Notamacropus eugenii: one gene and its partner. The protein of the gene in region 1 interacts with the protein of each later gene in a pairwise test. Links are inferred from orthologs where the notes say so. Each region holds a gene or a part of one and is shown on either strand. Other genes may lie near its edges.

The links.
Region 2: the proteins of SH3GL1 (region 1) and MTA1 interact in binary tests that used the Homo sapiens proteins (3 or more experiments, as listed by UniProt). The two-hybrid records come from large-scale screens. The link is inferred for Notamacropus eugenii from reciprocal best matches to the Homo sapiens genes SH3GL1 and MTA1.

The regions. Positions count from the first base shown.
Region 1 is NC_092875.1:71,633,789-71,641,443, forward strand, and holds the start of SH3GL1 (endophilin-A2), read right to left. Parts: upstream 3,022-7,655; 5' UTR 2,804-3,021; coding exon 2,759-2,803; intron 1-2,758. UniProt on the Homo sapiens protein: Implicated in endocytosis. May recruit other proteins to membranes with high curvature.
Region 2 is NC_092872.1:324,142,599-324,150,398, forward strand, and holds the start of MTA1 (metastasis-associated protein MTA1), read right to left. Parts: upstream 3,079-7,800; 5' UTR 3,001-3,078; intron 2,890-3,000; exon of another isoform or gene 2,681-2,889; 5' UTR 2,536-2,680; coding exon 2,508-2,535; intron 2,331-2,507; exon of another isoform or gene 1,833-2,330; coding exon of another isoform or gene 1,826-1,832; intron 1-1,825. UniProt on the Homo sapiens protein: Transcriptional coregulator which can act as both a transcriptional corepressor and coactivator. Acts as a component of the histone deacetylase NuRD complex which participates in the remodeling of chromatin.

The DNA of each region.
Region 1 (7,655 bases):
TTTAGGATTCCTTCCCAACTGCTTATGACCCAAAACAGAGCCTAAAGAACATTCAAAAAGTTTCAAAGCCAAAGATCATGGCAAGAGTGACTTCTCCTTTCTAAGACTAAACACATCTTCTACTTTGAAAATTCTCTCCCTCCTTTCATTGCATTCCAACTGACGGCCAGTTGGAGTCTTCTGTACTAACTCAAATCTCTGTCATGGTAAAAACCACAAGAATTATCAGTAAGTCACTTAGACTTGCTATTTAGGCTTGGGAATAACTTCATAAAAACACATACCTCTATTCGTTTCAAAATTACATTGCGGTACCACACCAGTGGAGGGCTCTCTGTTCCCCCTTGCCCTCAAAATGCATAAAGACCTTCTTTCAATTCTAGAGGTGCGACAAATACAAGAGGTCAGACAGATGGTAAGGGGAGCAAAAAGGGGAGCTGTTAGGCAGAACAGAGAGGAGCAAAATGGATGGTGATCAGACAGATGGCTGGTTATTTTACTGCTTTTCCTCTCCATCCTCTTGTTTTCATCTCAGAACAGCTCTAAAGAAGTTTCATTCCTTTAGCCTATAATGGCATTCCAGGAAAAAGACAGTTTACATTATAGGAAGCTAAAACGTCTTATAAACTCTCCAGTAGGGGCAAACATACCAAAGTTTAAATACATTTTTAACAGAACCTGAAAGGTTTGAATAGATAAATAGGGGCAGAATTTCTTGAGTTGGTTAATAGTGTAACTAATGAAAGTTTTTAATTAAAATCAGAATCTTAGTTCCCCAACCAAGCTTTTAGTGGCTTTTTAAAAAATATACAATTTTAAACTCTTCCAAATTCACCCAGCATCTCTTTTTCCAATTTAGAAATACTGAAATAAGTCTCCAAGTTCAAAATTCTTCTTCAAAAATACACAGGAAGAAGTTTCTCCTGGGAAACAGTTCATTTCCTCTGGGAGTGTGAAGGGGGATAAGAAAGGTGTTGATGTTTAGAATGAGAAAAACACACAAATAACGCAAACCGGTTATCAAGGAAATATAGTAGCAGACTCCAAAAATAATAGAAGTGACAGGTTTATGTACAAACATAAGTAAATTCTTAGGGCAATTGTTTGAAAGTACATCATTTAAGGTCTATGGATACTGGATTCTAAACAATCCAGTTGGACTTTATAGTTTTCTCAAGGCTGGAACCGTGAATGTAGACTCCTCTAAAATAAAATGTTAAGTCTGCCAACCTGAGAGACCCAAAGGGCATTCTCAGAAGAGGTACTTTATGTAGAAACCTTAACTCTAGGGGCTATTATGTCCTTTTCCCCAAAACCTATGTTGGGTGTTCCTTCTGTAAAAGAAAAGAACATCCCTATACCTCTTGTTGGCATTCCAGGACACTCCCACCATGTAAGGCCCTCCCTCACATAAAACAAAGTCAAGTGCAAGTCATGTCATTATTTCTCTGATGGCATGGTCTTCTTCGGCAAAGAAGAACGAACACATACCACATAAGGAATAACCATAAGTCCACCTATGCCTTCTTGAACGATGCCTCTTGGCCTCTGTGCCCCCACAGATCCCTTCTATCCTCTGAGAAAAGCAAGAGGCAGTGGATTGAAGTCAACACCCCAGAACAACCTCTGAACTGATTTCTCTTTCCCCCACCAGTGCTACCCAACCTTCCAGGGATCATGACCATGTGCCAAAATATCTGAAAAATTTATTCGACCTCATTTCTTTTTCAATAGGCTTTATTAATCCTTCTGGGGCAGTGGGCAATGTCTATGTATCAATGGGCAAACACTGGCTGCATTTTCTCCACTGCACAGACTCTCCATCCTCCCAAGGGAAAGAACAGTGCTGACCTCTCTCTGGACAATCTCTAGACCCACGCCACTTCTGTCTTCTTATCCATCCTCCCAAGAGCCTCCCTGGACAATCTAGGACCCAACTTCATTTTATTCTAAAGGTTTTCCCCATATTCCCAATAGCGCTGGCCTCTCTCTAGACAATCTCTAGACCTACGCCACTTCTGTCTTCTTATCCATCCTCCCAAGAGCCTCCCTGGACAATCTAGGACCCAACTTCATTTGATTCTAGAGGTTTTATCCATATTCTCAATAGTGTTGGCCTCTCTCTAGACAATCTCTAGACCAACGTCACTTCTCATGTTTTCTATCCATCCTTCCAAGGGCCTCCCTGGACAATCTAGGACTCAACTTCATTTTATTCTAAAGGTTTTCCCCATATTCCCAATAGCGCTGGCCTCTCTCTAGACAATCTCTAGACCTACGCCACTTCTCATGTTTTCTATCCATCCTTCCAAGAGCCTCCCTGGACAATCTAGGACCCAACTTCATTTTATTCTAGAGGTTTTATCCATATGCTCAGTAGTGTTGGCCTCCAAAAACAACTTCGGGACTGACGTGACTCCCCCCACCCCTCCAGAGCTCCCTTCATCCTCTAAGGGCATAGGCCATTGCAACCCCTAGACCAAAGTCACCTCTCTGCCAGCACAGGCTCTACCCATCCTGATACCACGATCCCGGGACAGGACTGGCCTTTCTGGACAATCCCTGCACCGCTGTCACTTCCCCCCCACCACATCTGGAGTGATGTCACTCTCCCCTCCCCCTCCCCCTTCCCCTCCGTCCTCCTGGGGTGGGGGCCGGGTTGGCCTCTCGGCACCCCCTCGGAAGCCCCCCCAGCCCCGGGGGCTCCCAGGCCGGGGCCCCGTCGGTCCGTCGGTCCGTCCGCCCCCGCGCCGCTCACCTGGCTCGCCTTGTAGAACTGCTTCTTGAGCCCGGCCACCGACATGCTGCCTCCCGCAGCCAGACCTCCCGGCCGGCCCCGACCCAGCTAGCGACGGACAAACGGCCCGGCGGCCAGACGGCTCCCGACGCTGCCCCCGGCCGAGCCCGCCTCAACCGCCTCCGCCTGCGCTCGGCGCCGCCTCAGCGCCCGCCCGTCCTGCCGTCCGCCCGCTGGCTCGCCGCTGGCTCGCGCTCGCTCTCAGGATATTACATGGCAACCGCACACTTCCGGTCCCGGCCCCTGCTCGCGCCCCCGGCTCCTCCTCCCCGCCCCCTCCCTTCTTCCTCTTCCTCTTCCTCTTCCTCTTCCCTCTCCCGAGCTCCCTCCGCCCACGCCGGGGGGAGGAATTTTCAACTCCAAGAGAAAAAGGGAGTCGGACCCTGGCAGCCCTCGCGCTCCCCCTGATGGCGGGGGTGGGCGTACGCAGCAGCGAGCCTAGAGGGGGAGGGGACGCGGCGAGGAGGGGAGGGGGTGGGGAGAGGCCGACAGACAGCCGACACCACCATAGAGAATGGCGAGGGCGGCCTAGAGGGGAGCCTCCAGCTGACAGCGCCCCCTGCAGGTGAAGCGTCACAGGACGCTTCTGCCCCGCCCCCCCAACACATCCCCAAGTCCACGAAGTAACTGCGGTGTATACACCGAAAGAGTTAAATTTTGTAGGGAGCTGGAATGGAGCCACAGCATCACCAAACCTCAGGACTGCAAGGGACTTCATCTAATGACCAACAGCTAGCAACAGCCCAGCCCTCCAGAGCTTCCAAAGTGCTGGACAGACCTTACCTCCCGTAAACCGCACTGCAACCCTGGGAAGCTGACTAGCCCCATTTTGGACAGGCTAAAGAACTGGGACCCAGAGAGGTTCAACAACTTGCCCGTAGTCACACAGAGGGCAAGTGCCAGAGACAAGATTTGAACTCAGGTCTTCCAGAGTCCTGGTCCAGCACTGGTCCACTCTGACACGCTCGTTCAACCTGTATCTGAGCAAGAGACCCCTCTAGGATACCCCCTCACAGGTGGTCATGCACCCACCGCTTGCAGACCTCCAGTAAAGCAAGGGCACTAAATAAAGAGGCGTCTTGCACTTTGGACTCTGGGTTAAGATTTCACCCCTCATGTGGGAGCTACCATGCCTCTGAAATCTTCCACTCATTGCTTCCAGCTTTGCTTCCAGTTCTACCCTTTAGGGTCCAACAGAATGTCTGACCCTTCTCCTCCCTCTGACAACCCCTCAGTTATCATGCTCCCTCAAAAATTCTCTCCAGATTAAACATCCCCACTTCTTTCAATCAGTCCTTGAATGTCCCAATCCCCGGGTGCCTTTATTATCCAGGCATACTCCTCTGAAATGTTTTTAATTTGTTAATGTCATTCTTAAGAGGCATAGTTTCAAGCTGAACTGGATACCACAAATACCATAGTCTGATCAGATCCAGTGAAACCTTCACCTTTCTTGTTCTGGACATCATGATCACATGGGCTTCTAAGAGCACATAAACTTTTGTGGGTGCCATATCCTACTCACATCATGTTGAATTTGTAGATTTTGCAAATCCTATCACACCATGTAAATAGCAGCTCATTACTGGAGAAGCAGTATGGCCTCTGAGTCAGTAAGACCTGAATTCAAGGTCTGGTTTTGTCATCTACTAGCTGGATGTTATCCTGGGCAAATCGCTTATCCTCTCAGTGCCCCAGCTGATTCTTTAAGACTATAACTGTAGTTACTCACATAGAGCAACAGTTTCTGATCTATATTGGAGGGAGTTTCCTCACTGGGAGTTCCCTACATTAATGAAACCACAGGTTCAGTAAAAAAAATTTATTTGTTCTCATCTTTAAAAAAATGTTTTTTGCATAATTGCACATGTATAACCTATATCAAATTGCTTACTGTCTCAGGAAAGGGAGAGGAGAGAGAAGGCATGAGAAAATTTCGGACTTTAAATTTTAAAAAAATGTTTAAAAATGTCTTTTCATGTAATTGGGGGAAAATATTATTAAAATAAGAAAACAAGAAAAAAATTAAAAATGATTATTGTTGTAATATCAGCTTCAATAACTTTCCAAGAGAGACTGGATACTTTTCCTGTCTCTTTAAGAGGAAGTAGAATCTTGGGGGGAAATGGTATAACTGTCATCTGGAATGAATTAACTGACATGGCTTAGAAAGATACTATGTGAGGCAAAGAGCAAAAGGAGTAGAAAAACATCTTTCTGAGAGATTCAGTGGATTAGCTATCAGAAAAAGAACCTGAAAAAACATTAAGAGAACTGAGTTTAACTCTTGTTCTACGGAGAATACTTCCTGAGAAGAGATTTCATCTGCCATGTTGAAAGAATGGAACTATAGAACGATATTTCCGGTGTCCATTGAGAAATCAGCAGTTGCAAATCAATAGTTAAAAATGACTAGGAATGTATTCTTTCTCATGGTTGATATGCTGCTCAAACATCTAAATATATCTTTGAATTGGGTGTTACAATGTTAATAAATTGTATAGTCAGTAACACCGATGTTTGCCTAAGCCTATGAAACTTAGTTTGCTATTAAGAGAGAGAAATGAGTGAAAGTTTTTGGGTTTTTTGGCTTATTTGTAAACTGGATGTGGAGGCTCAGGCTAATTGATTAATTGGTGAGATTGTGCAATCCTATTAATTTATGAGGAAATATAAGAATATATCCTTGATCGACTTAGAACCTTGGTAGAAATTGAATAAGGAAATGAGATAATAGTAATCAGAGAAAAATAAGGGTTGTTGTAGTTATCACCTAGCTCAGTACACAGCTCACCCAACCCATCAAGGCTACATGTGAGGTCACACTAAACCCTGTTTCTTTTATTTTTTGCCTTTCTTTGTGTCTCCAGCACTTATCACAATGCATTTCACATAGTACTTGTTTAATAAATGCTTGTTGATTGACTGGCATTATTATTAATCACCTCATTCTCATATTTTTTGTAGAGTTCAAATCAAAATGGACCTAGAACAAATCACTATCTTATTATTCTCTTATATTTAATGTTGTACAGACCGTTGCATGGAAGGGTAAATACATTTTTCTAATTAAATAACATTATAGGAATGTTATTCTTCCAACAGTATCAGAATATAAGCTCATCTTCGGCTAGCTCATTGAAAACATAGAGAATATGTTGGCTTAAAAAAAACATAAGGAAAGGAATAAGCATTTTATTAATTTCCTACTATATACTAGGTATTTTGCTAAGCATTTTACAAATATTATCTTATGTGATCCTCACAGCAACCCTGGAAGGTAGGTGCTATTATTATTCCCTTTTTACAGTTGAGGGACCTGCTCAGAATTACATAGCTAGTAAGCGTCTGAGGATGGATTTGAACTCAGGTCTTTCTAGTTCTAGCAGTATATAGGACAAGGAGGATTATATGTACCTCATCCTGTTCCCACATGGTTTTAATTTCAACTACATCTGTTCTGAAAGCTTTTCATTCCACATAGTTTGAATATTATGAGCATTTTTTGGTAAATATATTAATAATATTCTTAACTTTTTATGGATTAATGTTATATCTAGGTAATTGTGAGCAACAGTTTTGTCAGGGATGGTGCTGTGGTTCCAGTACAGCTTACCCATCAAATGATAAAGTATACTTTGAGGCACTATATAGTACAATGGGTAAAGCACTGCACTTGGAGTCAGAAAAATCTGGGTTTGAGTACCATCTTAGATACTGGTATCCAGGGTGAGTGAACCTGGACAAATCAATCAACATCTCTGAGTATCTCAGTTTCCACATCAGTAAAATAGGTACAATAATAGCACCTACCTCACAGTGTTGCTATGAATATCAAATTAAATAATATAATAAATATAATAAAGCACCTTGAGAAGTCAGTGGTGTGTTGGTAAATATTTAACAACCAGCTTTCTGAAGGGAAAAATTACCTTCACCACATAATTTTAAGTTTAATTTCTAGTATATTAATATTTCCTGCATCACCTTCTTAAATCTAGTCAAACATCAAAACAATAAATCAAGCCCTGATTTGTCGTGTTTGCAGGTTTCCAAGGTATAAATGCTCATCCAAAATTTAACAATTGGCTCTCCTGAGCAAACTGGTTCCAACTCATTTCTGCTTAAAGCACTATCTAAATGTTAGCTATTATTACTATTAATCATCTATCGGTCTTTGAAAGATAGCGAGCTTATGATATATAATTCTAGACATCAAGTTGTGTTTTGCTAGGTGTTTGATAGAGGCTAAATTTTTTCAACTTGTAGTAATGCATTGCATAGTTTCTAAATTTTTTTTTTTTTGCATAATTTGCATTCATCTATAAGTTCAGGCTCCTTAAGAAAAACCTTTCTATAATTTCTGTTGCCAATGACTTGGTCCTGAATTGGTATCATAAGCTACTCCATTTCCATAAATAAATTCACATCACTCAATCAGCAGTTCAATGAGTCTTTGTCCACATACTGTTGGCTGAGTTTATATGTAAGTCGCCCATGGAGGGCCTATTGATTCCGGTCTTGGGTCTTGGCCATTTCACAGGGTCCATCTGGAGGAAAACCAATTTTGGTTACATTCAACAAATCCAGTGATCTTTACCTATTGTTAGCCTTCATTATTACTCAGTCAAGAGATGTTTGTTTACTCCAAAAATATTTCTCTAAGTTTTTGTACTATTTTGTCATACTCTACAAACATGTACCAATCATCTTTCTTCTTTTTGATGAAGTATTAATATTTTCATAGTCGCGTTAAGGTGATGGCCTCTGCGTTTCCTTAATATCGTATATATTCTTGTCAAAATATTTTCCAAATCTGTTTTTACCCATATTAGCTCCCAAAGTGTTAAACCAAAAT
Region 2 (7,800 bases), on another chromosome or scaffold:
CACCTTTAGGAACATCCAGTTATGAGATATGATGTGATGAGCAGAGCAGTCAGACAAGCAGAGGGGAACCAAGAGACTGGAGTGTCACAAAAAGCTTAAAGACAGAATACCCAGGGGGAAAGGGTGATAAGCAGTGTCAACAGGCGGGTTGAGAAGAATTAAGACTGAGAAAAAACATCAAAAATTGGACAATTAAGAAGTCACAGATACGGCTGTTTAACTTGAATGAGGAGGCTGGAAGGCTGATTATTAAGAGTAGAGGAAGAGGAGAAAAGAAACAAAGTGTAAATGTCAAGTGTTTTAGAAAGCTTTTCTGAGTTTGAAGTTCAAATTTCTACCCAAGTCAAAACTTGGTGAAGAAACAGAGCTGGGCAAAATAAGAACAAACTTGCTAGTACACCTTGCTATAGACACCCTCCACCTTTCCCCAAAATGTAGGCAGATGGAAGAGTTAAAAGGGCAGGCAACCTTTGAAGCCCAACCAGGATCTCTATGGCTAGCACCTCTAAACCATGCTCCTTTGGGCTTCCTTTGGAAACCCCAGGAAGCATGAAGTAAGTCAGGAAACTGGCACTGGAGGAGTATGAGTACTTTCCCCACCCCAACATTCAAGAGACCTTAGGATCTGCTATGTCCTGCTCCTACTAATGTCACTAAACAAGGCACCAGTGTCTATTTGCATCATAGTATTGTCACTCCAAAGTATTTCCAGTAATTCTGACCCAACACCTGAGCTTTTAAAGGCAAATCAAAGGGGAAGCAACTCATAAAAATTATTGCCAAAGGAAGACTACAGAAGACAAGTAGGGAAAAGGCCTATGTACATAGCAGAGTGCTGAATGAGAGAGAAGATATATATTAGCATAATCATTCTCCAAAAGTACATCATCAAAAATTTGGGACCAGTAAAAATATATCATAGGTGACAATTTAAACACCGTCTTTAAAGGTGACCCTAACTCACTACTCTTGGCAGTGACTGGAAATCTAAGCCAGAGGATTCCTTAACTTTCACAAAGTATGCTCTTTCAAGGTTACCACATCATCACCCCCATCCCTCCTCAGCAAACTACCCCTCCCCAAGCTAAAGCCACCAAGCACTATCCACTCCATCTAAACTCAACAAGATGTGCCGTTGGACCCTCATTTAGGAAGTAGCTCAGTATACTAAGTATACTTAGAAATTCTAAGTATACTTAGAAATCACTTTTAAGGAAAATCTCCAAGCTTCCAAGGTAGTCTAAATATCAGCTAAATGTTTCAGGAGTAGTTGAAATATTCTCAAATGGGCAATAAGCAATCCTAAAGTTCCCCATTAACCTAATGGGCAATCCTGTCATGCACCCTCTCTACCACAAACAAGACAAAAACGTAAGAACTCCCTCTGTTCCTCAATACACCTTCCCAGATAGACCTTACCACCCTTCCCAGCTTCACTGCAAGAAAATGATTCTAATAGAACCTATTCCTGAAAAAAAGGACACCTTTCCCTCCAAAAAAATTCCAACACCAACTGCCCCCATCACTAAAACTAAAGAATCCATTCCCTCGATGCATTTTGCTCCTACCAAAAGGTTCCCCAAAGGCCAAAATCCAAAAGAAGAGCTGTAGTAGTGCTGTCCCCATAGTAGATCCCATTCTTTTTGCTACCTAGGTCGCCCTACACCTCCCTTTCATCACAAAGTGAAACTCAGATCATCACAAAGCACCCTATACACATATTTCTAAAAACAAAAACAAAACACACACACAAACCCAGAAGCACCACTCCCCCACCACCTCCACTCCCCACCCCCCCTCCAGCCCATGCCTGCCACTTTCTTACCTTTCATATGCCAACAATTCTAGCCCCACCTTTAGCTCCGAACTTTGGCAGGTATCAAATATCCCCCATTCTGGCTCCCCGCCCCCCCAATAATATTCATAAAACTGTAAGAAAGACGAGCTCATTCCGAAAACAAGATACAGATGACCAGGGGGCATCCACAGCTTCACTCTAACCACCCGGAGTCACTCACTGACTCTCCCTCCCCCAGGCCCAACATTCTCAACAGCCAGTCCGAATGTTCGCCCCCCGGGGGGTGGGGAGATGGAGGGGCCCGGGAAGGACAGAGGCCCTCCGGATGGAGGGAGAGGTGGCTAAGATGGGAGCCGGACGGCCTGGAATGGGGGATGAGGTTCAGACCCGGCACAGGAGGCGGGATGGGGCAGCGATGGCTGGGGCCCAGGGCGGAGGGGAGGAGGATCTGGGCGCTGGCCGTGAAGGCCCGGCGGGGCCACACGGGAAAGGAGGCGAATGGAATCCAGGCCGGGCGAGCGGCCGGGGGGAGGGGAGGAGCGGGGAGCAGCAAAACCTGGGGCTGGGACGAGTGGAACGCGGGGGAGGCCCAGGGCAGGTCGGGGCTGGCCTGGCTAGAGGACGCGCTGGGTCGGGAGCCGATTCGGGCTCTGCCCGAAGCTGGGCGGGAGGCCGCGGGGCGGCAGGGGCAACGAGGAGGGGGGCTCACCTCCGACCCTGTACATGTTGGCGGCCATGTCGGGCTCCGGCTCGGGCTCCGGCTTTGGGGGCGCAGCGCGGCACACGGGGGGCTCAGAGGCCTGGCCTGGCCTGGCCTGGCCCGGGCCCGACGCTCGGGGTTCGCAGGGTGGCGCGGCGGCTCCTCCAGGTGGGGGAAATGTGCTGGAAAATGGAGGATCGATCGGCTGGGGTGGGGGCGGGGGCGGACGCTTTAAAGGGGCCGCGCTTGGTCCACCCGGCGCTGCCGCCGCCACCGCCGCCGCCCGAGGCCAATGGGGAGGGGGAGGCCCTAGAGACCCATGGGAGTGGGCTGGTCGGCTCCCGGCAGCTCCTCACCCTTCTGCTTGTCCACTCCCCACAAACTGTCCCCTTCCTCCCTCCTCAGTCTTCTTCCTGCCCCTCCCTCCTCGTCTCCCCTACCCTCTTCCCGGCCTCCCTGGCCTCTCTTCTCTCTACCGCCTCTCTCCCCTCCCTTCCCCTACCTTCCTCTCTTCTCTTCTCTCCTCCACCTCTCTCTGTGTGTCTCTCTGGGTCTCTCGCTCTCTCGCTCTCTGCCTTCTCTTTTCTCTCCTTCCTTTTCCCCCCTAAACAGGCAGGCACAAAGAAAGCAACCACAACTCCACCTACCTGGCCAAAGGCTGGGGCCTCCTGTGTGCCCCCGCCTGTGCCAAGTCTGTGGCTGGGGTCTCTCCTGCAGGCAGGAGAGCTCTACTTTCCAGGCAGAAAGGAAAGGATAGACCGAACCAGGCCAAGTGTGCATGGCCTCTCAAAATTCATTCATTCATTGGACAAAATTCTGTGTGCTGGGTGCAAGGCCCTGTGCTGGGGCTGAGGTAGACAAAGATGGAAAAAAAACAAAAAGGGCCCTGACCTCGCAGAGCTCAGCTTAATGAAGCATGAATAAGACCAGATATAATACTGTACCAAGAGAGAATCTAATCAAGGCTTTAAGAGAGGAACACATTCCCAATGCACAAAGCAGGATTCATTGTCATATTAGCAACTAATATGTCAGAGAAAGAAAGGAAAAAATAGAATCCCTTTAGCCAGCCTAATTCATTCCAAAGAGTAAGGAGGTTTAGGTTTCACCTTAAGCTTAGGTTAGTGACCACCCACTCTCCCTTTCCTCTAAGAATGATTCAGGAGGAACATTTGTTTAAGAAGGAAAATATCTTTGTAATTCATAGCTTATGACTCATGATCTTAGAGGTGAAAAGGACCTTTTTAGATGTACGATTCTCTCTGGGACAGAAACAGAAATCCCCTCTGAAATGCCCCTGGTAGGTGATGATCCTCTCAAAGACCTCTCGTTAGTGGATAAGAATTTATGAAGCTCCAATGTCAAGCACTGCAGTAAGCACTGCAAATACAAAGAAAGACCAAAAGATAGACACAGCCCTCCGAGAGCTCACAAGTTAATGTGAGAGACAACAAGCAAATGTATACAAACAAGATATATACAGGTAGGAAATAAGTAACAAATGGAAGGCACTAGAGTTAAGAGGAATTGGGAAAGGCTTCCCGTAGAAGATGGAATTTTAATGAGACTTGAAGGAAGCTAGGAAAGTCAGAGGCAGAGATGAGGAGGTAGAGAATTTCCAGGCATGGAGAACAGCTAAAGAAAATGCCTAGAGCTGAGAAATAGAGTATCTTGTTTGGAGTGTCTTGTTCATGGAAAAGCAAAAAAGCCAATATCACAAATTGAAGAGTAAGTGTAAAGTATAAGTCTAAAGTATAAGAAGACTGGGAAGGTGGGAAAAAAGGGGGTAGGTTGTGAAGGACTTTGAACACCAAATAATTTCATATTTGATCCTGGAGGTGATAGGGAAGCACTGGAGTTTTTTGAATGGGGGGTGGTGGGGAAGGGTGATATGGTTGGACCTTTACTTTAGAAAAATCACTTTTTCCTCTGAATGTAGAAAGGGCCTAAATGGGAATGCCTTTTGCCAGGCAGACCCATCAGCAGTTTATTGGAAAAGTCCAAATGTGGGGTCATGAGGGCCTGTACCTGGGTGGTGGCAATCTCAGAGAAGATAAGAGGATAAAAGGTACAATGGACAGGTCTTGGCAACAGATTGGTTATAGATTGTGAGAGACAGTAAGGAGTGGAGGATAGCTTCTAGATTGCTGCAAGCCTAAGTCACTGGGAGGATGGTAGTCATAGGGCAGTATTAGGGAACAATAATAGAGAAGAGGTATTGGGATAAGGGAAGAGTTTAGAGGGAAAGCTATGAGTTCTGTTTTGGATATGATGCATTTAAGATGTCTGCTTGACATTCAGTTTGAGATGTTTGAAAGGCATTTGAATATTCAAATATTCTAGAGGTCAGAGTTGGATACCTATCTGATGAGAGAATCATCAACATAGAGATGATAACTAAATCCACATGAGCTGATGAGACCACCAAGCGAAGTAGTATAAAGAGAGAAAAGAGGATCCAGGATGTTTCGCTATGGGAAACCTACAATTAGAGGGTATGATTTAGATAAGAGTTTCAGCAAAGAAGGCTGAGAAGGAGCAGTCAGAAAGGTAGGAGGAGAAGAACCAGGAGAAAATTGTGTCCCAAAAAACTAGAGAGAAGATAAATCAAGGAAAAGAGGGTGATTGATAGTGTCAAAGGTTTCAGAGAGGTAAAGAATATATATTTAGAAAAGATCAGTAGATTTAGCAATGAGGAGATCTCTGGTGAATATGAGATTGGAAGCCAGATTGTAGGGGATTAAGAGAAAGGTAAGAGGAGAAAAGTGAAGGCACCCATTGCAGATGATTTTCTCAATGAGTTTAGACACAAAGGGTAGGAAAATACAGGATGATATCTAGTAGGGATAGAAGGATCAAGTGAGGTCTTTTTGAAGATGATGGAGACATGAGCACATTTGTAATCAGTAGGGAAGGAACCAACTGACAAGGAAACACTGAAGATAAATGAAAGAGTAGGGATGAGAGAACTGGCAGTCTTTTGGAGAAGACAGGATGGAATGGGATTAGAGGGACACCTTTTTTTAAGACAGATGAAGGAAGATATAGTGACAGAAGGCATGTATAGAAGATGAAAGAAAGGAGAGAAATAGTTCATGATGAATGGCTTCAATTTTTTCTATAAAATATGTATCCAATGCAGTAGATAGGTCAAAAGGGATATGGATTGAAAAAAGAACATTATTGCATTCACTGGTAACTTTGGAAAGAGAATTTCAGTGTAATGATTATATCAAAAGCCAAATAATAAAGAGTTGAAAAATTAATCAATTTGAGAAATGAGAAAGTGGAGGAAAAGAGTGTAAGAGTGTGAGAAAGGAAGGAGAGATAAAGAGTATTAGTTTGAGGAGATAGAAGGGTCTAGTGAAGGTTTCTAAAGATGGAAGAGACTTGGGTACGTTTGAAAACAATAGGAAATGAACAGATAGGGGAGTTTCTTAAGATTAAAAGAGAGAAAGAGGACTGTTGAAACTGAAAAATCTTCTAGAGAAAATGAAAGGGGATGCGTCTTATAGAAAGAATTGGCCTTAACAAGGAGAAAGACCACTTTATTGTTGAAGATTAGAGAAAAAGGAAAAGAGATGATACCAAGGTTTTGGGTTTTTTTAGAAAAAGAGAAGGTTTTAATGCTGAAAGGCCTCGATTTTCTTAGAAAAGTAAGAGGTAAAGTCTTCAGCTAAGAAAGAAGGAGGAGGGAAACATATGGGAAGCTTAAGGAGAATAAGAGAACTTGACAAAGCATGTGTAGAAAGTGAAGGAATCATTTAGGGAGGAATAAAAGGATTTCCTTGCTAATGTGAGGACCTGGTTGAAGTTGTATAACAATAGTTTATAATGTACCCTCTCATGAGATAAGCTAGAAGCCTTTCCAATAAGATTAGAGGTGAAGCAACAATTCCATTATTGTTATTATTTGACATTGTACTGAAAATACTAGCTATAGCAATAAGACAAGAAAAACTGAAAGACAGGCAAAGGAGCAGGACTACAACCAAGAATCACCTAACAGGCAAAATTAAACATAATAATATTTCAAGGGAAAAAATGGTCATTCAATGAAATAGAATTTCAAACTTTTATAAGGAGAAGACCAAAATTGAACCAAAAAAATGTGATCTACAATATCAAGACCCAAGAGAAACCTAGAAAAGGGAAAAGAAAACATAAGGGATTCAATAGAACTAAACTGTTTATATATCCCTACCTTGGAAGCTGATACTTGTAATTCATAAGAATTCTGTCACTACCCATCAATTGGGGAATGGCTGAACAAATTGTGGTATATGATTATGATGGAATACTATTGTGCTGTAATAAATGATGAGCAGGATGCTCTCAGAAAAACCAGGAAAGAGTTGCATGGACTGATGTTAAGTGAAATATGCAAAGTACAAAGTAACAGCAACATTGTAAGATGATCCGCTGTGAATGACTTAGCTATTCTCAGCATTACAATAATCCAAGACAACTCTGAAGGACTTATGAGGAAAATTCTATCCATCCCCAGAGAAAGAATTGAATACAGTTCTGAATACAGATTGAAGCATTTTAAATAATATAATCAACAAGTTAAAAAAAAAAAACTCTACCACTAATAGTAAAACTAGAAGGAATATATATAGAGGGCATGGGTATGAGGTGAATTTGAGGGAATGACAAAAAAAACTAAGGGATGGGAAAGAAGAATATACTGGGTGCAGAAGGAAGGGAGAGGTAGAATGGTAAATTGATTCACTTGAAGAGGCATGAAAGACTTATTACAGTGGAAGGGAAGATGGGAGAATGGGTGATAGGGATTACTTAAACCTTACTCCCATCAGAAGTGACTCAAAGAGGGAATAATATACATAATCAGTTGAATATAGAAATCTATTTTACCCAACAGGGAAAGGGAAGTTGGGAGGAAATCAAGTAAAAGGGGGAGAGTTGGGGACCAACAGAAGTGGGGGCAGATTGGGAGAGGCATAAACAGAAACAAAACACTGGTGAGAAGGGAAAGGGTGAGATGAAAGAGTACAAACAGGAGGAAAAATAAGATGGAGGGAAATTCACAGTAATCACAACCATGAATAGGAATGGGATGAACTCCCACAAAATGGAAGCTAACAGCAGAGGGAATAAAAAAACAGAATCCTACAATATCTTGTTTAAAAAAAAAGACACTTCAAGCAAAGAGATACACACAAGGTAAAGGTAAGGGGCTGAAGCAGAATCTAGCGTGCTTCAGCCAAAGTAAAGAAAAAAAAGGCAAGTGTGGTGATTCTGATCTCAGACAAAGCAAAAGTAAAGATAGACCTAATTA